3 linked regions of the Oreochromis niloticus genome follow. The protein of the gene in region 1 purifies or fractionates together with the protein of each later gene. This does not show direct contact. Links are inferred from orthologs where the notes say so. Each region holds a gene or a part of one and is shown on either strand. Other genes may lie near its edges.

The links. Proteins that work in one complex are often made in the same cells at the same time.
Region 2: the proteins of ddx39b (region 1) and zc3h11a purify together in Homo sapiens (affinity purification with mass spectrometry; 4 studies listed by BioGRID and IntAct, with this or other methods). This does not show direct contact. The link is inferred for Oreochromis niloticus from reciprocal best matches to the Homo sapiens genes DDX39B and ZC3H11A.
Region 3: the proteins of ddx39b (region 1) and hsp90ab1 purify together in Homo sapiens (affinity purification with mass spectrometry, with the first as the bait; 3 studies listed by BioGRID). This does not show direct contact. The link is inferred for Oreochromis niloticus from reciprocal best matches to the Homo sapiens genes DDX39B and HSP90AB1.

The regions. Positions count from the first base shown.
Region 1 is NC_031985.2:37,863,445-37,873,930, reverse strand, and holds the start of ddx39b (DEAD (Asp-Glu-Ala-Asp) box polypeptide 39B), read right to left. Parts: upstream 5,341-10,486; 5' UTR 5,207-5,340; intron 2,881-5,206; 5' UTR 2,871-2,880; coding exon 2,648-2,870; intron 1,161-2,647; exon of another isoform or gene 1,119-1,160; coding exon of another isoform or gene 1,088-1,118; intron 1-1,087. Other genes in the region: polr1h (DNA-directed RNA polymerase I subunit RPA12), read left to right, coding at 5,719-5,836. UniProt on the Homo sapiens protein: Involved in nuclear export of spliced and unspliced mRNA. Component of the TREX complex which is thought to couple mRNA transcription, processing and nuclear export, and specifically associates with spliced mRNA and not with unspliced pre-mRNA.
Region 2 is NC_031970.2:39,569,662-39,580,405, forward strand, and holds the start of zc3h11a (zinc finger CCCH domain-containing protein 11A), read left to right. Parts: upstream 1-5,699; 5' UTR 5,700-5,816; exon of another isoform or gene 5,817-6,136; intron 6,137-6,997; 5' UTR 6,998-7,070; intron 7,071-9,917; 5' UTR 9,918-10,003; coding exon 10,004-10,057; intron 10,058-10,144; coding exon 10,145-10,264; intron 10,265-10,670; coding exon 10,671-10,744. Other genes in the region: sypl2a (synaptophysin-like protein 2a), read right to left, coding at 4,847-4,921, 5,082-5,096. UniProt on the Homo sapiens protein: Through its association with TREX complex components, may participate in the export and post-transcriptional coordination of selected mRNA transcripts, including those required to maintain the metabolic processes in embryonic cells.
Region 3 is NC_031980.2:14,200,346-14,211,070, forward strand, and holds hsp90ab1 (heat shock protein HSP 90-beta), read right to left. Parts: upstream 5,046-10,725; coding exon 4,896-5,045; intron 4,775-4,895; coding exon 4,568-4,774; intron 4,452-4,567; coding exon 4,292-4,451; intron 3,954-4,291; coding exon 3,820-3,953; intron 3,739-3,819; coding exon 3,433-3,738; intron 3,325-3,432; coding exon 3,159-3,324; intron 3,046-3,158; coding exon 2,855-3,045; intron 2,345-2,854; coding exon 2,197-2,344; intron 2,085-2,196; coding exon 1,816-2,084; intron 1,368-1,815; coding exon 1,034-1,367; intron 953-1,033; coding exon 834-952; 3' UTR 410-833; downstream 1-409. UniProt on the Homo sapiens protein: Molecular chaperone that promotes the maturation, structural maintenance and proper regulation of specific target proteins involved for instance in cell cycle control and signal transduction. Undergoes a functional cycle linked to its ATPase activity.

The DNA.
Region 1 (10,486 bases):
TAACCACATTATTACATTAATGCATGTAAGGTGAACTAGCAAACACCGTCGTAGTTACATGCGGCTGTCTTCTTGTTTGATGGCAGATACTCCCTTCACCCTGGCCAAAAAGGCTAAAATGACCAAAGAAAAATTGGAAAACAGTTAAACATGAGAGGTTTTTGGACAAAGTTTGTGTTTTTTCCATTGTTTAAGCACTGCTTCCAGCCAAGAGTGAGACCATATATGCCCTATAGCTGCAGAAAAGGCTAACATTGTTATCTTTTTACAAAAAAACAGCTAAACATGAGAGGTTTTTGGACAAAGTGTGTGTTCTTCATTCTTTAAGCACCGGCACGTTTCAAAAGTACCGGTTTGGTACTGGTATCGGATAAAACCTAAACGATACCCATCCCTAATGACTACGTTCAAAAACAGGCTCAAAACCTTTTTATTCTGACTGACCTACAATGAGACTCAAAATGTGGTTTTAGCGTCAGGGTTACAATTAGGATAGAGTTAGGCATTCATTTGTCTTGATTAGGGTAAGCAGCTAATAATGATAATGTATACTTCTTTGATCCCCGTGGGGAAATTCCTCTCTGCATTTAACCCATTCACTCTTTGAAGCAGTGGGCAGCCATTGGGTGCCCGGGGAGCAGTGCGTAGGGACGGTACCTTGCTCAGGGGTACCCCCAACCTTCCGATGAGGGGGCCACCACTCTACCTACTGAGCCAGCCAAGCTAGGGAAAGCATTATGTCAGCTGTGCTATGTAAGCTATGAAAACAAGTCACCGGATCCCCCAAAAGGCTGCGTTCTCAGCCCCCTACTGTACACATATGACTGTGCACCAACCCAGCCACCCAACGTCATCGTCAAGTATCCTGACGACACCACTCTGATCTCTCTGATGGAGATGAAACAGCGTACAGGGCAGAAGTAAAGAACCTGTCCCGCTGCTGCTCAGAAAATAACCTGAAGCTGAATGTCCTTAAAAAAAAAGAACTCATAATGGACTTCAGGAGGAACAGACCGATAACAATGACCGCTTTTTATCATTTGAGGAAGATGATAACAAGGCTTTAAATGAATTGGCACCTTCATACCTCTCTGACCTTTTACACCTTTATGTTCCATCCTGTGCTCTCCGATCCCAGGACTCTGGCCTTTTAAAGGTTCCTAAAGCCAGAAAAAAGACAATTGGAGAGCGTGCCTTTTCGTTTCCTGCCCCATTTTTTTGGAACAACCTCCCTCAAGATATTAGGGAGGCATGCTCTGTGGAAGTTTTTAAAACTAAGTTGAAGACACATTTGTTCACCCTATCTTACATGTCTTAATTCTATGCCTTCTAGTTTTTAAATTCTTACTGTTTTTTACTTGTATTGCTATGTATCGCTTTTATTCATTTATCTTTTTAGTTTCAAATAGCTGTACAGCACTTTGTTTGAAAGCGCTTTATAAATAAAGTTATTATTATTATTATCATCATTATTATTATTATTAATGGACAGCGGGTGGAATCTGTCTCCACCTTCAGGTTCTTGGAAGAATAACCTTGATCACAAGCTGCTGCTGGCCTTCTACTGCTCCTCAGTGAAGCGCGTACTCTCCTACTGCCTGGCTGTTTGGTACGCAGACGCCACGACGGAGAACAGGAAGGCTGCACAGACTGTAATTAACACCGCCTAAAAAATCTGGCTGCCCTCTGCTATCCCTGGAAGCCATCGCCAGCTCCTCCTGTTTCAGAAAAACCAGGTCCATCAAAGGTGATGGTTACATCACCTCACTCACATCCCGTGAGTGTGAAGGTCCCAAACCTTCACACTCACAAACAGCTTCTTCCCCTTGATAGTTAACAAACACTATGCCCAAACCCCCCACGCCCTGCCAACCACCTCACCAATCTGAGCCATTATCTGAGCAACCCTCATCACTCAGGCCTCTCACATACATGCTCTACAGTCAGACCTTTGCACCACTTCCAAGCACTCCAATCTGTGCCTTAGTCTTTTTTTTTCACATTTTCCTCTAGATTGTACATATGGCTATGTTTGTCATTTATTCCTGCTGTCTATGGAGCACCTATACATTTGTTGTACATTTACAATGACAATAAATGGCATTCTATTCTATTTTGCTGTTTTCACGGTAGGTTTACAATGATTTAGATTGCAAACTGTGATGGGGCGTGGTCTGCGGTGCCGTGTGGACGCACCCCGCCGCGTCCTGGGTTTCGGCACCAGTGTGGTGGAATTAAGGCACGGCGGGACCGCAGATCTGTGTTTTGAGCCATCTTTATTCAACATTTGTCACACCACCACAACCCCACCAACCCCTGAGTCCCCATGTTTTAACACGGTGAGCGTGATTGCGGATGCTGTGCAGGTGCATCCGCACGGCACCGCAGTCCACGCCCCACCACATAAACCTACACAGATTTTCATGTTTTTATCTTCTGTGTTCAGCACATCGAGTTTGAGCATAATGAAATGTGCTATGTAACTAAAATTACCATTGCCAACACAAACCCACCACAGCTCTGTTAAAGGAGGAACTGACATTAATCTTTATCAGACACTTCAAATACAGAGAGAAGATAAAAAGGTGATTAAATTCAGCAATGGTTGTACCAGTTCCACATTTTCCTCCTGGCACCAATTACTTACCCTCAGACGGATGTTCAAACCCACAATCCACTATGGCTCTCAGCAGTTCAGGTTTCAATAGAAAGTCTCTGAATCCAGAGGAGTGAATGGACACATAAGAGCCCTTCACCCCCTCCTTTCTTATCGACACGTCACTTGCACCTCCAACATCTCCAGCCCCTCCGGCCTCCACCTCATCATCCTCGTAGTCCAACAGCTCGTTATCTACGTCGTTTTCTGTCATCCTGACCCTGCTGCGAAACGAGAAAAACAAATGTGGTGTATGAAACTTCAGGAACAAAGAGCTTTTAAACTTTCACAGTGCTAAAAGGATCAACATGGCCAAAGTTATAATTATTGGGGTCAGCATGTGTGCAAAAAGGAGCCAGCAGCTTAGACTTCAGGTTTTTTTTCACTCCTGGTTCGGAGACGTCAGTGAGAGCAAATGTCCTTAATCTAGCTATCTCAAGCTCATGCTCTGAGTGCAGCAGCCCAATCCCCCCTCCCAAAGTCAAGTCCTAATCAACTTCATTGTTATTATACTGACAATTAGACATACATCATTAACCCTGGTCTCCAAGTCCCTTGGAAACATGCAGGACATCGTTCCATACAATCCAGTGTATAAATGAATGACATACATGTGCAGCTCATCACTGTTTCAGAGAAGAACCATTTCTATTTTTACCAAACAAACTATAAACAGAGACCAAAATAGTGCAGAGAAGAATAAAAAAGATTCTTCACCCTCCTCAAAAAATACATAAAAATTAGAGAAAAAAGGGGAGAGAAAACAAATACACTGAAAAATGTCAACAATGTTGAGAAATGATGAATTGCTTTTTAGGCGTTTAGAGATAATTACTATGACCTGCTCCAGTTGAAACAGAGCTGTAGAATGGGGGAGAACGCTGATTTAAGTGACTTTGAACACACCTTGATTATTGGCGCCCTGTATCCTAATCTGAGTACTGCAGAAACGTCTCTGCTAAGGTTTTCCCACACAAATCCAGTGTAAACCCTTTGTAGGGTTTACAGAGAATTGTCCAATAAAAGAGAAAATATCCATGGAGTGCTTTGTTGATGTGTGAGGTCAGAGGAGAATGGCCAGACTGCTAAACTGCTTAGCTACTTGCAGACATGCATCATAACAAAACATAAGATAAATGAAGTGGGCTTACAGAGGCAGGAGAGCACACCAGGTGCCAGTCCTGTCCGCTAACAACACAACAGCAAGGCTACAACTTGAACAACATCATCACAACTGGACAACAGAAGCTTGGAAACCGTTGCCTGGTTTGATGAGTCTGCTACAACACTTGCATGGGAGGGTCAGAATTTAGCACAAACAACATGAGTGTAGATAAATACATATTTTATTGATCCCACATGTTTGTGTTACAGCAGCATGATAACAAATATGAGTAAAAATAGTACAGTCTACAATGGATGTGCAGCTGACAAATCTGCAGGAACTGTGTGATGTTATGATGTCCACATGGGCCACAATCTCTGAGAAAATGTTTTCTGCACTCTGTTAAATTGTTGGTACAAAGAATTCAATCAGAACTAAAAAGGTGTACAAAGGTTACAAAGTGTTTTGAGTGAAAGCAGAATACTTAACACCAGGTACTGTCACACTGGTGCCTATCCCAGCTTTCTTAGGGCAAGAGGCAGGGTACATCCTGGACAGGTCGTCAGTCTGTCACAGGGCTAACACATAGACACAGACAACCATTCACACCCATGGGCAATTTAGAGTTTCCAATTAACCTAACCCCACTAACTGCATGTCTTTGGAGTGTGGGAGGAAGCCGGAGTACTCATAGAAAACCCAGGGAGAACATGCAAACTCCACACATAAAGTGGAGTTGCCTGATGGTGGAACTGAATTCAGGACCTTCTTGCTGTGAGGCAACAGTGCTAACAACTGTGCCACCCTGCAAAATTAATTTATATTGCATAAATGCCAGAATAGTGGTGTGTCTAACATGAGGCACCAACTTGTACGGCAGGCTAGAATTTCTATAAGGACTCCAGTGATGTCCACCACCTCAGGTTGAAAACATGAACCAGTCCACTGTGCTAAAAAACAATTGCCTGGTTTCATTTTGAGCTTCTATTTTGAAGGAATATTCCGGAACTTTTATTTTTATTGTCGCTGAATATTAAATAGCTATAACCACACGCGCAGTTATGTTTTGACTTTTGAAAGTTCAAATCCAGCAGTACTGATATGTCTTTAAGATTTCTTCATCACACTGCAGATCATAACCGACATGAAACTACGGTCGCCATAAAACTGGGACCATCCCCGATGTCTGTTATTCACTCGGGCTCGTCTGATATTACGGCAGCTGACGTAAACACAGCGAGTGGCCTTTTTAGCAATAACCGTAAAAGCAAATTCCAAGTATTCTAAACAGCTAGCTGCAATTAGCTCAGCGGCTAACAAAGAACTCATCATATCCTCACTGGAACATCTCACGGCTCAACATTAAACTTCAGAGAGGTGACAGTCATGTTGCCGCAGGTACTGGTAACGTGCACTGCCTACAGTTCTTTTAATAATCGACATACCTTCACTACGAGAGAGAAAAGTCAACGGCTGTTTAAAGTAAAGCGCGACTGTTAGCGCGTCACAATGACGTGTAGAACGCGACAGACAACCAACCGCTGTAGGACCCGACGGTGTGTAACCATGCAGATGTCAGGCTGAAAGTAACAACAGAGAATCTTTGCTATAAACCGCGTCTTGTTTAGATTGCCAATCCTGTGAAGACATTAAACGGTAAATCATCAAAGTCTTTTGTTAAAGCCTAAGGCTGACGACGAAAGCTGAACACAGCGTTAGTTGACAGTTACAGATTTAATCGACTGCACTTCACGTGTTCAAGTGCCACGTGCGGTGTTTTGCTCCAGTGAGTGTTAGACAACAAAACAACATTACCGCTTTAACTTATTTTGGAAGGTAAGCTCTAAAATGTGAATCGACAAAGCAAAATAAGTCAGTCTAAATTTTTATTCGATACTATTTTACAGTTATTGATAATATCAAAATGTATAACAATAATACTTTACATGAAACAGAGATGTCGTGTTTTGGTGGTGGTCCCAACTTCTGCCCAGAGTGTGGGAATGTTCTTCCTCTCCCAGGAATACCGGACGTAGTGTGCTGCCCCGGCTGCTCTTTTAGGATCCCTGTATCAGGTAAATTCCATATCAGAGTTTATGCGAGTGTGAGCATGAGCAGCAGAGATTTTGCTGCTATCTCACTTTTTGTTTTTCTCATTTCACTTCCATCTTGATATTCCTGTGATATTTATACAGCTTGTACAAATGAAACGGCAAAGCAGAGTAGCTATCTGAGAGCTATCTGCTGTCCATCTTTGGATCATTTTAGTTTCTTGCAGCAAGTGATTGTATTTTCCTAAGCTCAATATACAGTATTGTGGCAAAAGAATTCACTCACTCATCCAAATCACTGAATTTGGTGTTTCAATCACTTCCATGGTCACAGGTGTATAAAATCAAGCACCCAGGCATGCAGACCGCCTCTACAAACATTTGTGAAAGTATGGGTTGTTCTCAGGAGCTCAGTGAGTTCCAGCATGGTAATGTGATAGGATGCCACCTGTGCAACAAGTCCAGTCAAGTCCTCAGTACTAAATATTCCAGAGTCAGCTGTTGGTAGTGGTAAGCAAAGCAGAAGTGATCGGAAACGGCAGCAACTCAGCCACAAAGAGGTGGGGCATGTAAAATCAGAGCAGGGTCAGCAGATGTTGAGGCGCACTGAGTGCAGAGGATGGCAACTTTCTCAGAGTCAATCACTACAGACCTCCAGACTTCATGTGGCCTTCAGATTAGATCAGAACAGTGTGTAAAGAGCTTCATGGGATGGGTTTCCATGACCACCAGCTGCATCCAAGCCTTACATCACCAAATGGAATGCAAAGTGCTGGATGCAGTGGTTTAAAGCAGTGGTGGACTCTACAGCAGTGGAGACCTGTTCTCTGGACTGATGAATCACGCCTCTTTTTCTGGCTATCCGATGGATGAGTCTGGGTTTGGTGGTAGCCAGGAGAGCAGTTCTTGTCTGACTGCATTGAGCCAAGTGTAAAGTTTGGTGGAGGGGGGATTATGGTGTGGGGTTGTTTTTAAGGAGTTATTTCCAGTAAAAGGAACTCTTAATGCTTCAGCAAGCCAGACAGACGATGCTGCACAAAGTGCTTAACAATATAAAAATGCCATTAAAAAGAGACAATGTAAAACAATAATAACAATATAAAACAATGATAGGACAATAAAATAATTAAAACAATAACTAAGACTATTAAAATAAGACAAAAATTTTTGGGTCATAGTGTGTTAAAAGCCAGGGCATAAAAAGTAGTGATTTAAATTGATCAAGTGTTTGTGCAGGTCTAATATTTAGGGGGAGACTATTCCAAAGTCTGGGACCTGCCACAGAGAAAGCTCTATCGCCACGAGATTTGAGATCAGTCCGTGGGATGGAAAGCATTAATTTTGAGCTAGACCTCATGGTTTTTCCTGGAGCATAAACAGAAAGGAGCTCAGACAGGTAAGAAGGGGCTCGGACGTTAAGTGACTTTAAAACAAAAAGTAAAAGTTTAAATTGGATCCTGTAGGAGACAGGAAGCCAGTGTAGAGAAGCTAAAACTGGGGTTATATGCTCTCTCCGTTTGGTCCCAGTTAGCAGGCGAGCAGCTGCATTTTGGACCATCTGAAGACAATGAATGGAGTTCTGGTCGAGACCAAAATACAATGAATTGCAGTAGTCCAACCTGCAAGTAAGGAAGAGGCGAATAACACGTTCAAAGACGTTAGCCGGGAAGTATGGCTTTACCTTGGCCAGCTGTCTTAACTGAAAGAATCAGAACTGGACTACTGCACTCACCTGCTTATTCAATTTAAAAGAACCATCAAGGTAGACACCAAGGTTTTTTACATGTGTTTTACAATAGGAGGAAAAGGGGCCTAGAGTGCTATCGATGTGATTATTGACAAAGTTGCCGAAAATGACAACTTAAGTTTTATTTTCATTTAGCTTTAGAAAATTTAACGACATCCACTGTTTGATGTCGTCAAGGCAGCGTAATAAGAGCTGGGGACGGTCAGACCCTGCTTTTAAAGGCAGATAAATCTGCAAATCATCAGCGAAACAGTGGAATGAAATGTTGTAACACGAGAAGATGGAACCCAATGGCAACAAATAGAGTGCAAACAGGGCAGGACCCAAAATAGAGCCTTGAGGTACACCGTATTTAAGAGGGGCTAGTTTGGAGTTATGGGGGCCATATTGACATAAAAAGACCTTCCTGACAAGTAGGACCGAAACCACTGTAGGGCAGATCCCTTTAGGCCAGCATGAAATTCTAGCCGTCATAACAGGATGTCATGGTCGACCGTGTCAAAAGCTGCTGACAGGTCCAACAATAAAAGGGCAGCAGGGCTACCAGAGTCCAGAGTTAAAAGAATATCATTAAAAATCCTTAAAAGTGCCGTCTCAGTGCTATGTAATGATTTAAAACCAGATTGAATTTTTTCAGAAATCACATTCAAATCAAGGTGGGCCTGCAACTGTAAGTAGACCACTTTCTCCAAAACTTTAGACAGTAAAGGAAGCTTTGAGATTGGCCTGTAATTGGACAGAACAGTTGGGTCCAGGTTATTTTTTTTTAAGAAGAGGCTGAACTATTGCTTGTTTAAAGCATGATGGAACACAGCAAGGGACAGATTAATTAATCTCAGGATAAAAGGCCCGACAGTATTAAAAGTGTTTTTAAGCAAACTTGGGGGGAGACAATCAGAGGGGCAGTATGATGATCTTAAGTTACAAACTACCGCACTCAAGTCATTCAGGGAGACAGGATCAAACTGCTCTAAGACAACTGAGCACATAGGAGAAAGACTAGGATCTGAGGCAGCAGTCGACGAGACAAGAGCCTAGGGGTGGGCGGTATAAACGGTATACGGTAGAAACAATATAAATTTGGCCAACAGTAGAGATTTTGACTATACCGCACTACCGCAATAGCGCATGTTGATGGTGTCATCAAGCTGCGTCTGTTTTGGTCGAAAGCATCGCAGCGGCTGCAAACAATATCATCTGCAAATTATGCCAACGACAGTAATAGCAAAGAGATGAAGCACTTTTGGAATATGGGGAAAGCCAAAAACTGCGCTTCCTCCACTTCCGTATCATTGAGTCATTAATGCTGAATTCCCTCGCAGCTGCTCTATTCCCATGTTGTTGCAGTATATTAATGACTAACCTCGTATTGTGGATGGATTATCTCAGTTGTTCTCCTGACTGAAGTTTGGTCCGTTTACAGCATCCTGCCATGGGATTGCATTTGTCCCTAACCATCAGGAACCTTCACGTTAACTTTTATCGAGTGGAAAAAAGTTAGCATTCATCCTTCAGCTTCACTGTGCTAATGTTATGCTAACGTAGCTGTGTTGCTAGCGATCACATAGAAGATCATTATATACCAGCTAGCCCAACTTCAGTAACCCTACAAAAGTCACTGCTGTTGAGTTTCCTGTCTCAACAGGAAATTTATGTCATTTATGTTGGAAGTGATAGCAGAGCTGTACGTTTGAATTTTTTCAGAAATCTCTCAGTCAGAACATGTTATATCATTTTTAGGTGGAAACTAGCGAGCTAACTTCCTGCTAACTTCTAACTCCGTTGAATTTAATAGATTCTGTTTTCATGGATGCCTGGATGTTAAGCTTAATTGTTACACCTGGTAAAGCAGCAACGCTGATCATTTTATTAAAGATGAAAGAATTTACACAGTTTTTAACTCTCAGTGATGCTGCAGTGTTCGTTTGACTTTGGGACCTGAAGGAGACGGAGTTTTGGACCCAGATTTCTCTGCAAGGCTCCTGACTACGGCAGCCATAAGGCTCCGGTGTTCTGGGAATTCATCAATCGGTGCGCCTTCATAGCTTACCAAAGTCTTACTAAAACATTTTTTGAGAGATTTCTGCGCGCCGTGTCCGACATAAAATCGGTTCGAGATCAGTGAGCACAACCAGAATTCATACATAAGGCACACTGTCGATTTTTGAGAAAATTAAAGGATTTTAAGTGTGCCTTATAGTGTGTAAAATGCGTTATACAGAAGAAAAGAATATATTGCGATATATATCGTTACCGCACATGCTTCAAATTATACCGTGATATGGATTTTAGGCCATATCGCCCAACCCTACAAGAGCCCTAATAAATAGAACCTTGTTGTTAAAAAATGCTAAAAAATCATCACAAATACTTGGTGAAGAAATGACTCCGGCATTATCACGTGAACTAAGAAAACTATTAAGGACATTAAAAAGTACCTGAGGCCTGTGACTGTTTACTGACACTAAGTTTGAGACAAACTGTGTCTTTGCAGTTTTTACAGCTTCTTGGTAAGCAGAAAGACGAGTCCTTAAAATCTGTAGAGAAACGTGCAATCTGTCCTTTTTCCATCTCCTTTCGGCGTGTCTGTAGTCATGTCTAAGGGAGCACGTATGTTCATTCAACCATGGCTCTGATAATTGCTTAGCGCGCACAGTCCTAAACGGAGCAATCGAGTCTAAAATATCAGTGCAGGTAGAATGAAGAATGTCTGAAAGGTCCTCAACACTTTTACAGTTGGAGTTCATTGTTCCAGAGTCCATAAAGGCAGCCGAAAAAGTGGTTGCTGTTAGAGAATTAAGCGCTCGCTTTTTGTGCGCTGGGGCACACGCTTATCTACCGAGCAGCGTTAGAGTGAACAACACAGGAAAGTGATCGGAGATGCGCAACTCAGATATTTCCGTGATGGACATATCCAGCCCGTGGGA
Region 2 (10,744 bases), on another chromosome or scaffold:
TCATACCTGTCTGACAGGGCTTTCTCTGTGAACTTTGGAGATTTTATCCCAGCTCCCCTTACTTCTGGTGTTCCTCAGGGATCTATAATGGGGCCAATGTTATTCTCTATTTATATTCTGCCTCTAGGTCTAATTTTCAGTAAATATAACATTTGTTTCCATTCATAAGCCGATGACACTCAGATCCACCTTCAACTGAAAAGAAGCTGCTCTGCCCCGCTAGAACCATTACTTCAGTGTCTCAGTGAAGTTAAAGCCTGGATGGCCTCTAACTTTCTTAACTTTAATGAGAACAAAACCAAAGTGATAATTTTTGGACCAAGTGGTAATCCCAGCACTTCTCATTTGAACCTGCACAGCTTTGAGCCTTTTATTAAGTCGCATGCTAAAAATGTGGGGATTATATTTGGCAATAATTTCACCTTTGAAAAATAGATTAGCTCAGTTGTTTTTCAAACTGAGGCTTTTATCTAAGGTGAGATCATTTTTATCTTTTAAAAACTTTGAACGGATCATCTATGCTTTTATTACAATCCAACTGGACTATTTTAACTCCTTATATACTGGAGTTAGTCTAACCTGCCTTACAAGACTGCAGTCGGCCCAAAATGCTGCAGCTCATCTTCTGACACAAACTAAAAGACGTGAACAGTGCAACTTTAGACACCACATGGTTGAATAAACACTTGTTTTTCGAGGTTATTTACTGTTCAAATGTTAGACCGCAGGTCTAGCATTACACTACATTTAGGTGTCGAAAAACGTCCTGGTACGAATGAGTGTACGAAGCTTTTCTGTTCTTCCAAGCTGTTTTTCATCTTTCAGATTAGAATGTCTGGCAAGCAAATAACTAAAAATATTGTCAATAATAAATATAACACTGTGGAAATGTCTTGGGTTTTGTGTCAAGCTGATAGAAAGATAAAAGAGTTTATAGATACAATTTAAGTTTGGTTATTTGCTCCTTTGTTGCCTGTAGACATAACACTACTTATAACTGACGATATAATTGACACTAGACAAAATACTTTACAACTTCACAACTTTATTAGTGCTTAAACAAGCAGCTGTTTTTTTATGTGCAGTTATATAAAGTTATATAAAAAAGTATGTAAAGTTAAATAAAAATGTAACAGTGCAAATTCCTCGCTGACAGTTTAACCAAAAAGCATTTCCAGTGGAAATTGGCCGACATATCCTCAGCATAACCATGTATAATATCCACAAAACTTAAAAAGAGGTTATACACACACAATACGGTAATATTATGTTGAAGCACAGTACGTATCACTCCGTGAGGCTCCTGCCTACGATAGCCGTAATGCTCCAACAATCCATCAAGCGGTGCAGCTTCGTAGCTTAGCAAAGTCGTACTAACACATTTGACAGATTTTCGAGCGCCGTGTACATAAAATCGTTTCGAGGTCAGTAAACACAACCAGAATTCATACATAAGGCACGCGGGATTATAAGGGACACTGTCGATTTTCAGAAAAATCAAAGTATTGATTTTAAGTGTGCCGTATTTTCCAAAAAATACAGTAACAACGACGGCCCGCTAGCATGCTCTACCAAAAATAGTGCTTTGTTGTGTATCTGACAGACGAAAGCTAAACCAGTTCCACACCACTGAAGTTGCAGCAATGTTACAAACCAATTCTGGTTCATCCGTTTCATTCAACGATCTGCTTTCGCCCTTCTCATTCTCCGTCGCCGCCAATCTTTTTCCGCCATGTGCGTATGAAAACAAAGGCACTGCGCATGCGCGTTTTACCCATATTCTATCGCGATATTTTATTATGTGTGCCTATGCCAAGAGGCACACATATTACTATTCCTCGGATTTATTATTCTTCTTATTATTAGACAAGCTTCATATATGTTACCTCATTTTGTGCGGCTGGATCTGGAATGGTGTGCTATGACTTTTGGTGTTTATGACTATTATAGTTTTTTAAATATTAATATTTTAGTGAAAATTTTCCCACGCTCCTCTGCCAAACAGTTTTGACAATAGGGTTACATATGTTACATCATTTTGTGCGGCTGGAGCTGGGCTAGTATGGTATGACTTTTGGTGTTTATGACTTTTATAGTTTTTGAAATATTTAGATTTTAGTACAAATTTAGGCCAATTTCTAGGCTCCTGAGAAAGATTCTGCTTTTGGCACCATAGAAACAGACTTCATTTGTGGTGTGTTGGCTCTCTCTAGTGGTATACCGGGAGTAGTACGGGCTAAAACTTTTATTCTTGTCGGAAAACTCCATATCCCACAATTCATAGCACGCCTCTGCCAGTGAAACAATGGCGGACACCACTTGGATTCTATAATGGTTTTTTTTGGTGTTTCTAGGTCACAAAATAAACTTTTACGATATTTTCAGGCGAGAATGTAGGTGTGTAAACTTCAAATATCTGCTCGTTTTATCAAGACATCCCATATTCTCTTACGTGTTGTTGATAGCCAGCTAGCTAGCGCCGCTAGCCTCTGCCAGTGAAACAATGGCGGACACCACTTGGATTCTATAATGCTTTTTTTCGTGTTTCTAGGTCACAAAATAAACTTTTAAGATATTTTCAGGCGAGAATGTAGGTGTGTAAACTTCAAATATCTGCTCGTTTTATCAAGACATCCCATATTCTCTTACGTGTTGTTGATAGCCGGCTAGCTAGCTAGCGCCGCAAGCTAGCGCCGTTAGCGACCCTTCGTGAAAAAGCACCCAAGTTTGGCTTATAGTGAAGCGGCAGAAAGTCGTGTCAACACCCGATTGCTCGCCAAGGGTCTGTGTTCAGCTGGACTTATTTTTCGTTTATATGGGCCGATGATGCTGGAAACCGAAGGCAGGAGCGTGAGGTGAACTGAATTTCAGGTAAGAAGTTATGAACTGCACTCTATTTGGGTCAGATATAAACCGAGTTTAGGTGTAATTTATTTTCGTTGACCTTTTACAATCGTACTGCCACGGGAGTTTATATACAGCTGTGTGCGCGCTAAGTTACTGACGTTGGACTTTATTTTATTCATAAGGGTTAGTTCATAGAGTCAGAGAAAATATTATGATTTATTCTGTCGTTACGAAGCCTCCCCTGTCATTCTCTCGCGTGTTGAAACGTCAATCATGAAACTGATCAATGATCGGCTGTTCGCTCTTATTTCTCGGGCTAACAACAGCAGCACCTTTAAGCTTGATCAGCTGTTGTTACAATTCTTTTGATTTTAATTTCTAGTATCAGCTGATGTTTGCTGGAGCATGAAGATGAACTCAGGAGATGTCCTTACTGAATCATCAGAGCTGAACTGGTGATGGAGAAACAGGTTTACACTTTAGGTGACATGAATGAGTTGAAGGGAAGTTATGAGTTGTTTCTGAGAGACAAATAAAGACCAGCTAGGGCATTAACAGAGAAAGGTGGACACAAAGATATACTTTTCTTTCTTACTCTCATATAAAATATTTAGCTTTTATTAAATAGTTATCTGAATCTCACAACCAAAGTTTGTATAATAATACACAAGATTGGCTGTAGACCATTGTTCATAATTCAGAACACTGTGTAAAATAACAAAAAACAAAAAGTGAATGCACGGCCGGCTGTGTGGGTAAACCAACCATGTGTGAAAAGTGGTCCATAACGTAATGCTTCAAAGCGTGTTCGTGCAAACATTGTCGGGTCTGCCGTGGTACAATGGGACTTCTGCTCATGAACCTGTGTGCACAGCGTCTGCAAATCGGCGCTGTACAAAGTAACTTCATCTTTACACAAAACTGTAAGCTGTCATCTGTGAAGCGTGAGCGGTGTTTGTTTTTACCATAGTTCATGGTGGAGAATGGCTGCTCTTCTGAGTTTTGCTGTCTGTAGCCGTATGAATGGCAAACTACACTGATTACTAGCGGCATAGGCACACTTAAAATTTCTTCTGAAATTTTCGCTTTCTATTTTCTTATTGTTGCCCAACATTATACCGGTATTACTGTGAACGGTTTGATATGGGCCAGCCCTATTCACAGGTCAGTGTTAAATAGCTGTAACAAACCAACAAAGAAACAAAACAAACCCATTTGAAAATGGTCAGGTATGAGAGAGCTACTGCTCCAGACCATTTTAAAACACGTCTGTCTTCCTGCAAGCAAAAGATCAACAAACCAGGCTGGCTCAACACTTTTTGCATTTATATTTCACTCTCTATAGTTCACAGTCGTGTTGAAACAAACCTTACTGTACACTAAAATGGAGCAGACTGACACACTTTCACCTTCCACGCGTGGATTTGGTGGTGCTCTAATACACAGAGCACCACCATATGTGCAGGCACACAGGCAGGGGCAATCCTAATGTGTTTTCTTTTCTTCATATTCAGTCTATTCAAAATCAAAGGGCAGTTTCACGGACTCAAACACAAGTGAGATTTACAGCTTGTTCCAACACAAGCCAAGCAGCTGCCATTCCACATCAAACTCACCCCACGGTTCAGCAACACCAGGTACCAGCCACACTGGGAGTACCACAGTGGAATTTCCTGGTAACTGGTTCAGCTGGTGGTATGACCCAGTCCTACACATAATCAGGTTTTATGATGTGATAAAAGCTGATACCCTGTTCTAGGTTAACATTTCACTGAGGAAAATGAGTAAGGTCAGTGTTATAAAATGTAACGTCGACAAAACAGACACAGAAGTTTAAAGTTCTTCATTAGTTATTCAAGCTGTCTTCTTGAATACATGTACCAGTTTAATTACTGGTACATGGATAAATGGACTCCTAGGAGACATCCCAGTGAATATTCCAGACTTCACGCTGATTGGGATAAATAACGTACAAAGACATGTATGTGACAGTGCTTACCCATTCGAGGACACGAATAAATCCCAAAGGTTCCTTCAGCGGTCCAAGGTCCAGAGAAAATCCGGCCATTGCTTTCTGTGCACCAAAGACACGCAACCAGGTGTGAACGAAAAGTACCTCTACAAACGGCGATACGTGTTAGTCACCTTGCAGCTAACTGACCCTGCCCTGGTTAAAGCAGCTGCATGCTAACGCTAGCTCACGTCAACTTAGGCACTTTAAAAAACTCACAAACCTGAACAGTGTCCATCGAAGTGTGTAAAAACTAGCAGTTAGTGTCCCGGTACTACTTTTGTCAGTTTGCATGTAAAGCTAACTTCAAGTTGGTCCGTCTGCTTTCTGCCAACGACATAGGAGCTAACAGCAGGGGGCAGTCTCAACTGTGCACGGACCCTACTGTGAAACCGACATAGTACTTCCTGTTTTTACTTTTCAAAATAAAAAGCACACGTTTGAAATCAGAAAGCGATGACTAATTTTTCTTTCAATGTGATTATTAGTTAGCGTTTCTAATGTTGGAGGGAGCGGAAGGTAATGCTGCACAATGCAGTGTGATTTTGACAGTATTTAAAATAAATTGTGTGGATCACAACATAGCCGCGATAGCAGTTTGCACCCTAACTAACTAGATTTGGCCTATCTAAATAGTTCATAATTACTTACGGTGCTTATTTATTTATTTCTACGCCAGACTGTTATTCACTAAGGGTTAGCATAGCAGAATGAATGTCTTTGCTGACATAGCCCCTAGAGAGTGTATAACACTCTTGCTGTAGACGTGATAGAAGTTTTCGAATCTTCGACCTTTCCGTGCGACTTGAACACAGCACGCAGGCCACCCCTTCGTATTTTTATTCCACCGTCGCCATTTTGCTTAAGTCACAGTGCGCTTCTGGTTTTCTTCGAGCAGGCTCGGGTTTTTCTTGCCATATTCTACAAGTTTTCAAATATCTTTTTAAATTTTAAACTGGTAATTCAACACTACATACACTGTTTACATCATATGTATGGCAGTTACATTCACGCGTTATAACACGAACGTGAATACCACGGTAATAAACGGCCGTCTGAACGCTTAGCTCACGATTAGGTCGCTAACCGCCCAAGGTTTCGGTAGGCCTCTGTTATGTACACGAGCTAAAAAAAGTGTTCATCGATTAAGCATAATAATTTAAGAGTTCACATTTTTAAACTAGAGACTAGTTAGCCCGGTTAGCTATAAAGTCATTTTCCTTTCCGACTGGGAGTCACGTAGTTCATTAGCTTTGAGACACTTTTTGTAATTCAACAGTAAGTATATGAATGTTTTCTTGGCTGTCTTGGTCTTTAAATTTATATTTTCCTCGAGTTTGAGATTCGTTATTGTTATCTGAGTGTTTCAGTTTAATTTTTGTTTGTGTCCTAATTAAGATGACGATCATAGTTAAGGCCAATTGTCACTGGCAAGCTAAGGCTTCCGTGTGTAGAGTGAAGAAGCCTCCCAAAACAGTACTTGTAGATTTTCCTGCATGAGACACTAGAAATGTGAAAGTATGTAAGTGTCGAGCAGGCTTGTTTCATGTTGCTGTGTGGAAATGTGTTTGTCCTGTTTGTCTTTCAATAACCAGTGTTCAGTTCCCCGGGCAGTGTTTCTGATGTATTTGTAGGTTTAAACCCATCCTCTTGGCCCTCTTTGGGAATCCCTGGATACGGATAATTTGCCCCCAGTTGATTGGCAGAAGATTTTTTTTTCTCCAGCATTTGGTAATCAAGACATGAAAGTCCTGCAGCGTTTTTCCTCCCAACCTCCAGCATTCAAATGTCACAAAATGTGTAAAATGCCAACAAGCCCAAGAAGAAGCTGAGGATTTTTTTCCCACCAACCACCCCACCTTTCTCATCTTTTTTCCCACATCAGTTAGAGTTTCTTCTATTTTTTCTTGTTCATGCTGTTTATGTCCCCCTACTTATTTATGTCAGTAGCCACACCAAATAGTATCAATGATGATTTACAAGAAATCCCCAAAGGACTTTATTGCATCAGCATCAGTATTGTTTAGCGGTTTGGCAGAGATCAGGATGTCTCAGAAATGGGATGTCGTAGGAAGACTAATGTCTTTGGGAGACCCACCCCACTTTTCCTCTTATCTCATGGATCAAGTGTTCCTTCAGGATTTCCTTACTACTGTGGAGACTCCGTACCAGCTGTGCACTCAAGAGGCAGACCACTTCTCTACTACCTCAGGTAAATGAGCTGCAATGCTTCACACAAAAGCAACATTTTGTTGTTGAAATGTTATAGGCCATCTCACATGAGTACAGGTCAGCTTTACAGATTACTCTCAGTGCAGTTTTTTTGCCTTTTCTACAAATTTGTCAAATTGTTTTTTTTAATTTTTCTTGTGCAGAACATCTTGTTGTTTGTAGGGCTGCCACAAACGATTATTTTGATAGTCGACTAGTCATCGATTATTTTTGCATTAGTCGACTAATCAGATCATGCATCCATTGGACGTAACAGGTACAGCTGATTGCACCAGCAGCATCTGCTCTTATATAACTATCATTAGCTTACAGCTTTGAGTGTTGAAGGTATGTGCTAACTAAAAATAAAGACAAGATGATAGTTTATTAAATTTTAATGACATTTGCAGATTGTTTAGGTGGAGTTTAATAAACCCAGCCTTCTGCTCCTTGCTATCTAAAATATAACAGGACACCGGAGTATATTCTCGAGCATCTCACACTTCTGATAATCAGCTGTCTGCTTGACGTTTATTCAGCTGTGTGAAAACTATAACTTTAATCTCAGCCAAACCGATTTACTCAGGAACAAATAAAATTGTGAAAAAAGCCAAACAATAACATTTTTAAATTACCTAAGTGACTTATGTATCATGTTTAACCTGAGTAGCGAAAGACCGCGGTGGGTTTGAAAATGATTTGCCAGGAGTCCGGTGTTCTCACCGGCTCTAGTGAGCCTTGAACCCCGGCTAGCTATCGAGCTGGTGGGTAACAGACGTCTCTGAAAACGTTGGCGCTCTTTTGAAAATATGTGGTGTCTTGATAAACCAAGCAGATATTTGAAGTTTACACAGCTACATTCTCACCTGAAAATATGTTAAACGTTTATTTTGTGACCCAGAAAGAATAATAAGAGTGATATTAAAACTAACTAGCTGCCGCCATTGTTGGAAACTGATGAATTCTGGGATAGATTGGGCCACGAAGGATACACCCGACCCATCCTTCAAATCTGGGGAAATGAAGGGCGCAATTGTCGGAGTCTTCGAATTTGGACAGTCTTTGTAGTGTCGCTGTAACGTAATTGGCCTACAAATGCGGGCACAGGAGGATGCGGCTCCTGAATTTGGACACAGCTATGATACCGGACACAGCTGCTTCTTCTTCGGAGTGTAACAGCAGCTGGCATCCTTGTACATGCAGTGCTGCCATCTTCTGTTTCAGTCAGTTATTACACTCTTAAATCCTACTACTTATTCCTGCGTCTGTCGGGATCTTACAAAGCTTCAAACGACGCGTCGACTATTAAATTAGTCGTCGACGATTTTGATAGTCGACGTAATCGTGACTAGTCGATGAATCGTGGCAGCCCTAGTTGTTTGACTTGAAATCTAGTTGGTGATGTACAGAGTCTGGGTGAACGTTGTGAGTTGGTGCTTCATAAATAAAATGAACTGAATTAAAAATGGAGTGAAAAAGAAACACTCATTGTGTCATGGGGAGCACTATAACTATATGCTTTAGCAAAAAGGAAAGTTTGAAGCCTAATCTTGAAAGTAGAGATAGTGTCTGTCTCCTGAATCCAAGTGTTAGGAACAACAAGTAAGCCTGTAGTGTGAGAGCGAATTGCTCTAATAGGGTGATATGGTACTACAAGGTCATTAAGATAAGATGGGGCCTGATTATTTAAGACCTTGTATGTGAGGAGCAGGATTTTGAATTCTGGATTTAACAGGAAGCCAATGAAGGGAAGCCAAAACAGGAGAAATCTGCTCTCTCTTTCTAGTCCCTGTCAGGACTCTTGCTGCAGCATTTTGGATTAACTGAAGGCTTTTCAGGGAGTTTTTAGGACATCCTGATAATAAAGAATTACAGTAGTCCAGCCTGGAAGTAATGAATGCATGAACTAGTTTTTCAGCGTCACTCTGAGACAGGATATTTCTACCTTTAGAGATGTTGCGCAAATGGAAGAAAGCAGTCCTACATATTTGTTGAATACATATACAGGGACATACTCTGGTTATTGTCGTGCACCAGGAGGATCCCAGGACCCGCTGCAGCAGCGTAGGGCACCAGTGGTGGACCTGGAGCTCAGTGGCAAATGTCAATCCTCAGGCCACCCTCATGAAGTCTGTTTCTGATTGTTTGGTCACCTTCACATCAGTGGCCTGCTGTAGGTCATTTTGTAGCTCTGGCAGTACTCAGACTACTGCTGCAGCTCTCGATTGTTTTAGTAATCAATTAATTTATCGATTATTCCATCGGATACAATTACAGTGCTGGCGGTGAAGAAAAGCCAGCATATCAGCATTCTGAGGTTCACCTGTGCTTTGATGCAACGTTTTTGTGCTGCTGAAAACAAGACAGAATGATGGTGTAGATGTGAATTGATATGAATAGTAATTGATTGTCCAGCCTAAAGACCCTCAGGTCAGCGAGTTTGACTATTAGTTTGGTCCTCACGGTGTGTGTGTGTGTGTGTGTGTGTTTCCACATTAAACTATGCCAGTGTCATCACTGGTGCTGTTGTGTATCAGTGTGTGGAGCCTTTTCATCCACACCTGCTCCTGAATGTGTTTGTATTGCAGCTATGGGTGAAACGCTCACACATTGGCTCATTACACAGCTCTGTGTTAAACAAAGCATCCAGCAAAGTCTGTTTTTGTTTTGTTTGTTTACAAAAACCAAACCATTTGTAGAGATTTGGGCGACACAACATCCCTGTGTTGTTCCTGGTACACACTGACACTGAGCGTTTAAATATTCCATTGAAAAACTTCCAAAATGTACCAAATGTGTTGGTTTGGTTTGAAGTGTGATGTCTGGTTTCTGTGCTCTGTGTTGTCAGGGAGGTTCCTGTAGGCCCATAAGAGAACCAGCTGCTGGGTTTAGAGGTCGTTCTTTTTCATCACCAGCGCGTAAAACAGCTTTACTATGACCAGCCATGGAGACGACTGCTACTTCTTTTACTATTCTACCTGCAGTAAAGTAAACAAACCTGCTATATGCACACATTGGGCTAGAAAGTGTTGGTGGCCAGAAGGAAGAGTCCAAGCTTACTGTTTGTCTGTGCAGGGAGACAGTTGTCCGTTCAGACACTGTGAGGCAGCTATGGGGAACGAGACCATCTGCAGCCTCTGGCAGGAGGGACGCTGCTTTCGTGCTGTCTGCAAGTTTCGCCACATGAAAATAACGGTAAGCAAAATCTAAATGGAAGAAAGGTGAAGGTCTCTCCTTCAGGCTTTGCCCAGTCAAGGCTGTGTGTGCCTTGAATGGCCATTAATGAAGAGTAAAAAAGCCCACGCCTCCCTGTAAACCAGGATCTCCACTCCTGACTCCTTCTTTCAGATTTCTACAATGTGAAGTGCTGTTCACAAACACAAGGCTGGTTAAAACGGGGGCACGTTCCCTCACCTTCAGTTCTTAGCTACATAGTCCAGAGTGGTGTTACAAACCACAGTGTGGTATGTGATTAGGAGTCTAGACTTGGACCTCTGAGCCTCCTCTGAGAGTGAGGAGCGTTTCTCCTCATGCATGTTGTTTCACAACGTCAGATGGACACCGTATAATGTTCACATGTTAATGTTCTTCATCAAAACAGAAAAATCGAAAGGAGATCCCGTGTTACTGGGAGAACCAGCCGGCAGGCTGCCAGAAGCCACACTGTGCCTTCTA
Region 3 (10,725 bases), on another chromosome or scaffold:
CGCACACCTGCACTGTAATTTATGCAGCTGTATGAGAGGTCTTAAAGTAAGAGAAATTATGGATTTTAGTGAGAATAAAGACAAAGTAGATTTACATTAAACTGATCTGATCATACATTAAAACGTAATGAAGTTGGCATTTTGAAGCCACTTTAAGCAAGCAAGGCGGCGGGAGGGGGGGGGGGGGGAGACTCTTTACAATAGTAACACTTACAAAACTCATTCTTCTGTCTAAACCACTTGTATGCTGATGTTTGGAAATGGCTCTCACACTGCAGCATGTCCCCACCTAGTGGATACATTGAGCAACTGCCCCAGTAAGATTTTGAAGATGTGTGTCAGGTCCAAGTATGTGTGCAGACACTATTTTAAATTCCCTAATTAAGGTATAAAAATACTACAAGACAAATAAGGTCTCACATCTTTAATTTTTTTTGCAAAACAAGACTTGGAATTACAGACGAGCCTGAACTCAGGCAAAGGAATCATACAGTCCTCTCTCCATGCAGTGTGCAGAGTTGCACGTGAACAGCACCCCCCCCCCCCAAACCTTCCAGATGCGACTGTGGAATGTACTTGTGTTCACACATTTACCGCTCTGACATTTAAAACTCAGTGCAACAGGGTTCTCATTAAAACAAATGTGGCGTCACCATGAACTTCTACAGGAAAAATCAAGACAGCCTCTTAAAGAGCTCTTCAGTGTGCTGTTCCACACTCAAGAGCACCAATATCGGTCCACCTCACAACATTAATAGCTATTTTTTTTACAGTTTAAGGATGAACAATTGGAAAGGGAGGATTATGTGTTGAAATCTGGGGTGCGATCTTGTTTAATCCACTTCTTCCATGCGTGAAGCATCGTCCTCAGCTTCGCCTTCTAGGGGAGGCATCTCATCTGGGACAGCTGTAGTGGTGGTCTCCTCTGCGGGAATGTCGTCATCGTCGATACCTGAGTGCACAAAAGCATAGCGTTGCTCACCTAGATCGATACCCACTTCTAGAAAGTCAAGAGGATCTGGAGTTTTCTTACCAAGACCAAGTTTGATCATTCTGTAGATGCGGTTGGAGTGAGTCTGTGGGTCGTCCAGGGAGAAGCCTGAGGACAGCAGTGCGGTTTCAAACAGCAGGATGACGAGGTCCTTCACAGCCTTGTCGTTCTTGTCAGCCTCAGCCTTCTGCCTGAGAGTCTCCATGATGGGATGGTCAGGGTTGATCTCCAGGTGCTTCTTGGCCATCATGTAGCCCATGGTGGAGTTGTCCCTGAGTGCCTGGGCCTTCATGATCCTCTCCATGTTGGCGGTCCAGCCGTAAGTACTTGTCACAATGCAGCAGGGGGATGACACCAGTCTGTTTGACACAGTCACCTGAAGGAGACAGAAGACATTAAGATTTAAAGAGGCTCAGGTGACAACATCTGATAATTTAAGGAGACAAAGTCAAGTTAGTCAAGCATGTTAGAAATAATACCAGCACATTACAACTTTAAATCTAGTCTAGTTAGTTTACATCCCCAAATCCTTGCGAAAACTTGAGTACTAGATGCACATTACTGCAACAAGCACGAGTTTGACTGCATTCACTTTATGGTTCAGATTTCAAACATGTACAGCACCACATCTGGCAAAGAATGCAAATCATTCGCATCACACCAAGACTGCAGGAACTCACCACAGTACTAGTTGGAACCAATTAGACAACCTGTTACCAAACAAAATCCTATCAGCCACAGTTGTGAACTTTGAGACCCTAAACGCTAGAGCACGAAGGGAAGTTTGGGTTAATCTTAATTGGGCTCTCACTAGGATCACTGACCTTCTCCACTTTCTTGTCAAGAATCTCCTTCATGAGCTTGCAGAGGTTCTCAAATTTAGCCTTGTCATCCTCCATCTTTTTCTTCTCCTCCTCATCCTCTGGCAGCTCCAGACCCTCTTTGGTGACAGAGACCAGGGTCTTGCCATCAAACTCCTTCAACTGCTGGACACAGTACTCATCAATGGGCTCCGTCATGTACAAGACCTCAAAACCACGCTTGCGGACACGTTCAACAAAGGCAGAGTTGGCCACCTGATCCTTGCTCTCACCTACAAATGACAAAAAAGCGATAAAGTTTGAATAAAACTTCATTTTTAATACTTGTGTAAATGCAGTTCTCTTCTACCATTTCAGAAGCTACTTAAGGTTTATTTTACTCACCAGTAATGTAATAGATGGATTTCTGGTTTTCCTTCATGCGGGTCACGTACTCCGAGAGGGAGGTGGTCTCGTCACCGGACTGGGAGCTGTGGTAACGCAGCAGCTCAGACAGCTTCTTGCGGTTTTGCGAGTCCTCGTGCACACCCAGCTACAAGTGAACAAATAAGATTTATCATCTTATCCAAAAACAATCTCATACACCAGTAGGGTTAATGGATTCAAATAAAAAGTCAATCCCACCTGTGTATGGTCAGGTGGGATGGACTGCCAGCAATGTCACTATTCTAATCACACTGACATTGCACACTGCATGAATTCTGCTACATAGTTTGTCACTTTAGGCTTTTAATTAACATGTTTTCAGTCTACAGCCTAAATGTGGGAAGTTTCTATTCCTAATGCAGATTTGACTGCATGGGATTACATAAATGCCAAAACAGCTATTCTTCTGGGTTTTAAAGATCTGGTTATTACACACACACACACACACAAAAAAGTCTACACTACTTTGAAGAGGGCTTTACAAACCAGATTAAAGAATAAAGAGGTAAACCTTTGAGGTCCAAGAAGATGCACTGACATGAAATGAAGAGAATTTTAAGAGCCAACTTTCCTAAAGACACAAAAAAAAGAAAAGTAGCCAGAATATTATAAATACCTTGAGGTTCTTTGAGAAGGCTTCGTAGAACTTCTTGTAGTTTTCTTTATCCTCACCCAGTTCAGCAAAAAGCTCAAGACATTTCTTGACAATGTTTTTACGAATGACCTTCAGGATCTTGCTCTGCTGCAGCATTTCTCTGGAGATGTTCAGGGGCAGGTCCTCGGAGTCCACAACACCACGGATAAAGTCTGGAATAACATAAATGCTACACTAAGCCTTTGCCTTTAAGCAATTCCTTACTGTGTGCTAAGCTGTAAATTAAAGTACTTTCAGACTAAAGGTAAAAAGCAAGTCATCTTACTCAGATACTCGGGGATGAGCTCTTCACAGTTGTCCATGATGAAGACTCTCCTGACGTAGAGCTTGATGTTATTCTTCTTTTTCTTGTTCTCAAAGAGGTCAAAAGGTGCGCGGCGGGGGATAAAGAGCAAGGCACGGAACTCCAGCTGGCCTTCCACTGAGAAGTGCTGTAGAGGAAAATGACTCCGTTTAGCTTTATTTGTAGTTTATGACTACGTTAAAAACCCAGTAGGCCAATTAAAACCTGGAAGAGCTGTTCAGGTTAACCTGCTTACCTTAACAGCCAGGTGATCCTCCCAGTCGTTGGTCAGACTCTTGTAGAACTCGCCGTACTCTTCGTTTGTGATGTCGTCAGGATTCCTGGTCCAGATGGGCTTGGTCTTGTTCAGCTCCTCCTGGTCGATGTACTTCTCCTTGATCTTCTTTTTCTTCTTCTTGTCCTTGTCTTTGGAGTCCTCCTCATCATCTGAGCCAACATCCTCGATCTTTGGCTTGTCCTCACCTTCCTCTTTCTCCTCCTTTTCTGCCTTTTCCTCCTCTGCCTCGTCGTCACTGACCTCCTTGTCGCGCTCCTTCTCCACCTGCAGATTCACATTACTTTGATTTTTACTTTGCCGTTCTTTAATGGTATACTAACAACGTCCTCTATAAGAGTCACTTACAAAGAGGGTGATTGGGTAGCCAATGAACTGAGAGTGCTTCTTCACGATCTCCTTGACCCTCTTCTCCTCGACGTACTCTGTCTGATCCTCCTTCAGGTACAGGATGATCTTTGTTCCACGGCCAATGGGCTCACCTGTGAACAGTTGTGATGCTTTTAGGACATTTTGTACTAAAGTGTCCATGGAGTCAAGATTCAATTTTTAGATACTTCAAATCCATATTTAAGCCTCTAAAGGAGCGCACTTTGCTAGACGATGCCAACTTTAACGCCAAGATTGAAAACAACTCTCTTAATACTTTAAAGCTACATCGTAACCTCAGACACATGAAAACCAATACACAATTAACAACATCAAGACCATTAATAGTAAGAACTGCTTCCAATTCATGAGAAATCAGGGACATCCTTAGATGTACCCACAATATTTAAAAACGGGTTTAGTTCTGATATTGTAACATCAATACACTTACTGTTGTCAACCTTGACTGTGAAAGAACCTCCAGCAGAGGACTCCCAGGCATACTGCTCATCATCATTGTGCTTTGTGATGACAACCACTTTCTCAGCAACAAGGTAGGCAGAGTAAAAACCCACACCAAACTGACCAATCATGGAGATGTCAGCACCAGCCTAGAGGAACACAGTGAGTTCTAATGTTAGATTTCAGCTTAATTGTGAACATGGAAAATGCTTTCCTCTTATAAAGCGTCCCTACGGTTCCATACTGAGATGCATTCCCTTCATACCTGCAGGGCCTCCATGAAGGCCTTGGTACCAGACTTTGCAATGGTACCCAGGTTGTTAATGAGGTCGGCTTTGGTCATACCGATTCCAGTATCGACCAAGGTCAGGGTGCGTTCAGCCTTATTGGGAATGATGTCAATTTTCAGATCCTTGCCACTGTCGAGCTTGGAGGGATCAGTCAGGCTTTCATAGCGGATTTTGTCCAGAGCCTGCAAATGTTTAAACAACAGGATTAAAACTAACATTCTTTTAAGCATTTAGAAACACAAAAAAATGGCTAAAAATAAATGCATCAGTGCTGAATGAAAAGCTCTGCTCCTGCTAACTTACATCAGAAGCGTTGGAAATCAACTCCCTGAGAAAGATCTCTTTGTTGGAATAAAAGGTGTTGATGATCAGCGACATCAGCTGAGCGATCTCAGCCTGGAAGGCAAAGGTCTCAGCCTCCTCTTCTTGGTGCATTTCTTCAGGCATCTGCATTAAAACAGTTTGTGTATGCTTTAATAAAATGGGTGGATTTCGATAAAAACAGGATAAGGCTAATTATGGGATCCGGTTAAACTACATATATTCAACTACTTTCAGTTTCGCAAACTGTATCACCGTTTGATCCTGTCAGAAGTCGGTTACATAATATGGATAACTGCCGTCATGTTGCGGAAGTGGCCGTTAACCAACATGGCGTCGAGCGACAGACAATGGACCCCGCAAACACGTGCTAAGGAAAAGCTACCGATGAAAATAACGAAAAAAAGCTTATGCAATGCGGCAAAATAGGTTCACCCAGAAGAGCAACTTAAAGCCGTGTATTAACGACAGCAAACGTGACTGTCATATAAAACGGCTCTGCCACCAATTCGAATAAATAAGAGCTAAAAACACCACTCACTTAAGACGAGCATAAATCTGAAAGCATTGGCAACTTGAGAGACTAACTCGTGCGTTTTATAGACACGCGACAGCTACGTGAACACGGGGACTAAGCGAAATCGACTCAAGCCAGTTCACGTTACTCTTATAAAGATTTAAAAGGATTAATTCTGTTAATGTGGACCAGTCGTACAATTTATGAACCGATACAGCGCTGTCATGTTCGCCACACCTGCCTTGGTACTACACACGGCTGGGGCAGTGCGGCAGAGTGCAGCATTTACACCGCTCGACGTCTACGTGACAAGTGCAAACATTTCTTACTCCACAGTAATTAAAAACCAAAATTCTGAATACTACTGTGATATGTTAGCTGTACCTGACCAAAGTTACTTAAGGTTACAACCGTAACTCGTGAGAATACGAGCTGTACTGTATAATGACTGTTTAATAAAAGGTCAAATATCAAAGGCTAAAGCACGTAGTAACCAACAAGAAACCGCTCGTCTACATACCTTGTTAATTTCGTTGACTTTTCTTGAATAAAATGCAACCAAATCGCTATCCCTTACGCTGTCTGACGCAGAGAAATGGAAAGGGACCTCCTTTTAATAGACCGGTATCTTTATACACGTGCTTCACTGTGCAGTCGTATCCATCCGCGGTGCGCCATCTAGTAAGGAGAAGTGCACCAAGTGAATTACAGTTAATGTTTTAAGGCTACATTCACCATGTGATGAGTTTGAATGAAGACTTGAGGAAATACCATAACTAAATAAATAAATATGATATTATTAAGACATTTTAGCAGGTATTAATTCAGTGGATTGAAGTGTAATGTGTACTAAAGAAAACAAATCTCTGGAGATTTAAAGCCATTATATTAGGTATACAAAAACAAGGGGACTTTTTCAAGATTAATTAGTAAAGTGAATTCAAAAACACTTTATACTACTTTATACTAATCTCCTGGAAAACACAGTATTACAGTTTTATTTCTGAGACAAGCGCATCATTGCTGCCATCTTGTGGCCGTTAAAACCAAAAACGAAAGTATTGTCCGAATCGATCTATTTTATACTAGTTTCCAGAGCTGCCGCGATATGCTATCAAAGCATAATTTAAATCAGTCTAACAAATAAAGTCAATAAAACTCACGAGTATACCGTTAATTTTCCGACAGACCAACAAAGACTTTAGATCTTTTTAATCTGATGGAGGAATATTCAAAAACATGCAGGGTGTGCTTCGTTTCTTCTAGCACTTTCCATGAAAATCCCGCCTAAAGTGACGTCACGCGATGTCAGTCGCAGTCTTCACGTAACAGCCGCTGTCTCCGAGAGGCACCGACAAAATACAAAACAAGACAAACAAACAAAAAACCCATCAAAAACAAAACGCTGCTTATGCAATAAATAAATAATTGATCTTCAGATATTTATTCTGTCGGATGTCAAAATTATTATTTTATTCGTAAAAGACATTATGGAGGAACTCCTATGCACAAATAATAGACTACGTCTTTGAATTACATATTAATGTAATTCAATAAAAATAAAAATCTAAATTGACGATGTCTTAAAATTTCCCCAAAGTAGTACATACAAGTGCAGGAGTTGTATTATAGTGTTGAAATCCATTTTTAACCCAGCAAACCTTCAACATCGACAAACGCTCCCTAACCTTATGTTTCATTAACCTTCTAGACGACCTTTAGGAATGCTATGTAAATATTAATAATAATAAGAGTAGTGATTTTTCTTATTGATGTTAATATTACAATACTAGTATAAAACTATACTCTAACGACTCTAGTAATAATAGTAGTACAGTTATTGCCGCAGTAGCTACTAGTATCGTTAGTAAACTCCGTCCAGTGGTCAGGTCTTGGTGTACAAAGCCAGCGCTCATGTAGTGTTGCGCGTAAAGCGCTTGCGTCAAATGTTTTTTTTTTTTTTTTGAAGGCCCGACTAGCCAACGTGCTAATCCAACATTTGGAACGTTAGAGGAATTTTCATAATTACTAACCTTCTGAGAGTATTTTTATTCTTTTAAACACCACCTGATTAAAGGTATGTATACCTGGGCATGTGTAGATTTATCTTGAACTTTAACTTTGCCCGCTAATAGTTGAGTGTTGTTTGTTAAGTAACGCCAGGTTGCGCTAATATTAGCTTAGCTTAAGTCTATGCCGGGGACACTGGAGCGTGCTCGGTGCTAGCTTTAGCTAACTAAGCTGCTAGTTTTTTGGCCGCATAAACAGTGAGCAAATTAACTCGTTGTAACACAATAACAATACGTGGGTCCTGGGACTTTATAATAGTCACCCTGCGAACGCCATCCCATTGAGCTAAGCTAAGTTTAAGTATTGTTGCTGCTGGGCAGCAGAAGTCACCGACGGGTACTTTACATTCATATGACTAGATACCAATAAACATCGTTGTGCTTTCTCTTATAGTGTTGTTGATTTAAACTAATCGTTTTAAAAGTTTGGCTCTTTGTTTTATTTTACATTGTTTAGAGGACTTGATTTAATTACACATCTGGTGCTGCTGATAACGGGTATCTTGGTTCCTTCTTCAGGTCGGTCCACTTCACTTCCACAATGTCCTTCCCCCCTCATTTAAATCGGCCGCTGTTGCCTCCTCCAGGCATCCCTCCTCAGTACACAGGCTTTCCCCCAGGTAAGCACCCTTCTGATTGGCGTTCACCTGTTTTGTTTCAGTTTTGCCACAATGTCATTATTAAGAGGCATATTCGCAACACTGAAGGTAGTTGAGATTCGCTACATTACTGAAAATATTTGAGAATCGTTTTACTAATCTGCAGTCATAGATCTTAAGTGAAAATGGTGTAATTGCTTGTTGCATGTTTTCTTTGGCTGTTTCAGGAGCCCCTATGATCCCAGTTCACATGGGTATCATGGCCCCCACACCTGCAGTAATGGTTCCTTCAGTACCAGTGCTCAGCAAGCCTGCAGTCCCTAAGAGGGAAACCATTGCTGTGAATGCCAAAGACAGTGATGAGAACAGTGGCCCCACCACAACGGTGTTTGTAGGGAACATATCAGAAAAGGCTTCAGACATGTTGATCAGACAGCTGCTGGCGGTAAGAGGGGAACACACATTCTACTTGTAGAAATACACCAGCAAAGGCAGACACCCTCTTAATTTGACAACTTTATTTTTTTTCTTTGTAATTCTATAGAAATGTGGAATTGTTTTTGAGCTGGAAGAGAGTACAAGGAGCCTCTGGCAAGCTTCAAGGTAATTTCTAATAATCCAAAGTGGGTATTATTTAGTCAGTATATGGGTATTAAAAGATGAAGAATAACTAGATACATGGCAAACCATTAATTCAGTCTATAAACATAAACATTTGATCATGCCCTTATGTCTATTTATATGTCAATATTTGTTCCAGCTTTTGGTTTCTGTGAGTACAAGGAGCCAGAGTCCACACTGCGAGCCTTGCGACTGCTTCACGACCTCCAGATTGGAGATAAAAACCTACTTGTGAAAGTTGATGCCAAGACAAAAGCACAGCTGGATGAGTGGAAGGCCAAGAAGAAGACTGCAAATGGGGTATGAATTTTGTAATAGCAATTGTTGGGTCTGCGCTTCCACAGGCCCCGCTGGTTTAGAAACTTATTGTGTGTGTGTGTGTGTGTGTGTGTGTGTGTATGTGAGTGTGAGTGTGTGTGTGTATGTTTGTGTTTGGGGGTGCGTTTGTGTGACCTCCTGCCCACAAAAGGATCATAAAAGCAGGAGGCTTACTACACAAGAAAACAGAACCCTCACATAGATGTCCCTACAATAAACCACTTCAGCCTCCCCCACCAACAAACTGGCTGGAGAGGTGGTCAGAGACAAAGGAATGTCTTTGATCATGCTGCTTGAACTAAGACTTACAAATTTAAGTATCACAATGACAATATTTAACAATTTGACTCCAACAGCAATTCAAATAATTGTTTGCAGCAGCTAGAGAATGTGAAAAATTGCTAAACTTGACTCATTTTATTGACAGGATAAAAAGAGTGAAGATGCAGGAGAGGATGAGGAAGAAGTGTTAGATGAGGAGACAAAGAAGAAAGATCAGATTATCAAGGGCGCCATCGATGGACTGATGCGGGAATATGCTGCGGAACTAAATGCACCTTCACAGGATGATGAGTCCCAGCGACGAAAGAGAAAAAAGGAGAAAAAAGAAGAGGTACTGACCTTGATTAATTGTTAACTTGTGCTACTGTTTTGTTTACTCCTTAGCTTGAAAGTGAGCATTGTTATTTCAACCTGTCAATGCGTTGTTTTTCCTCAGGATGACATAAACACTATTGACATGGAGGAGGACAAGAGGGACCTGATTTCCAGAGAGATTAGTAAATTTCGTGACACTCACAAGGTAAAGTGGCTTCTTTGATCTTGTAGTTGACATTTCAGGTTTTGGACAGCAGTTCACTCCTAGAGCTTGCACATTTAGTTGACACAGTTTTTTTTTTTTTTTTAACCCTAACTCAGTAACATGCATACTCCACTATAGATTGGCGGTCCCTAAAACAACACCACCAAACATATTATTCTGCCCTAAACTATATGAAATGTTTTATTTTCAATGTTTGAACACTACAAGTGGGCAGACAGCTAGTTTATTCTTGTCACCTTTCTCAGGCGTGATTTGACACCTGCCACTATTGCCAAACTATCTAGGTGTGACCATTATAGATCCATATCTTCATTCATCACACAAAAATGCATGGCGACGATGTAAAGTTACTTAAAAGCTAATCTATTCATTAAACCCCACCATTATGATAGTGATCATATGGTGACAAAAGCAAGATGAATCTCAGAGCTTTGGAAAAAGTTGCCAGGATAGGATGTAAGTATCAGCCTTCATTTACTATATACATATACTGGGCGTCCCCCTCTTGAGGACTTGCATTGGGGCAACTGTGCTGCTCAGTTGTGTGTGTGTGTGTGTGTGAGTTGGCCTTGATTTAGCCAACCTTACCACCACGCAAAGACAGTTTCCCTAGATCATCCTGAATTTATGACAGCCTTGGTGCTTCACTCGAAAGCTGGTGAGTCAGTGAACCTGTGCGAGTCCTCTGTAAATTATGGTCTGTCATAATGGTGTTCATGTTGAAGCACAAGGACTCAGTAACTACTGCAGTGACTTTGGCTGTAGCCTTATTATTCTAGTGTGGGGTGGGGGCGCCCTCTCCACAGCAGTAAGATGATCTGAAGACTAACAAGGTACGTGCTCTCTGTATGTTTTGTTGTGGAAT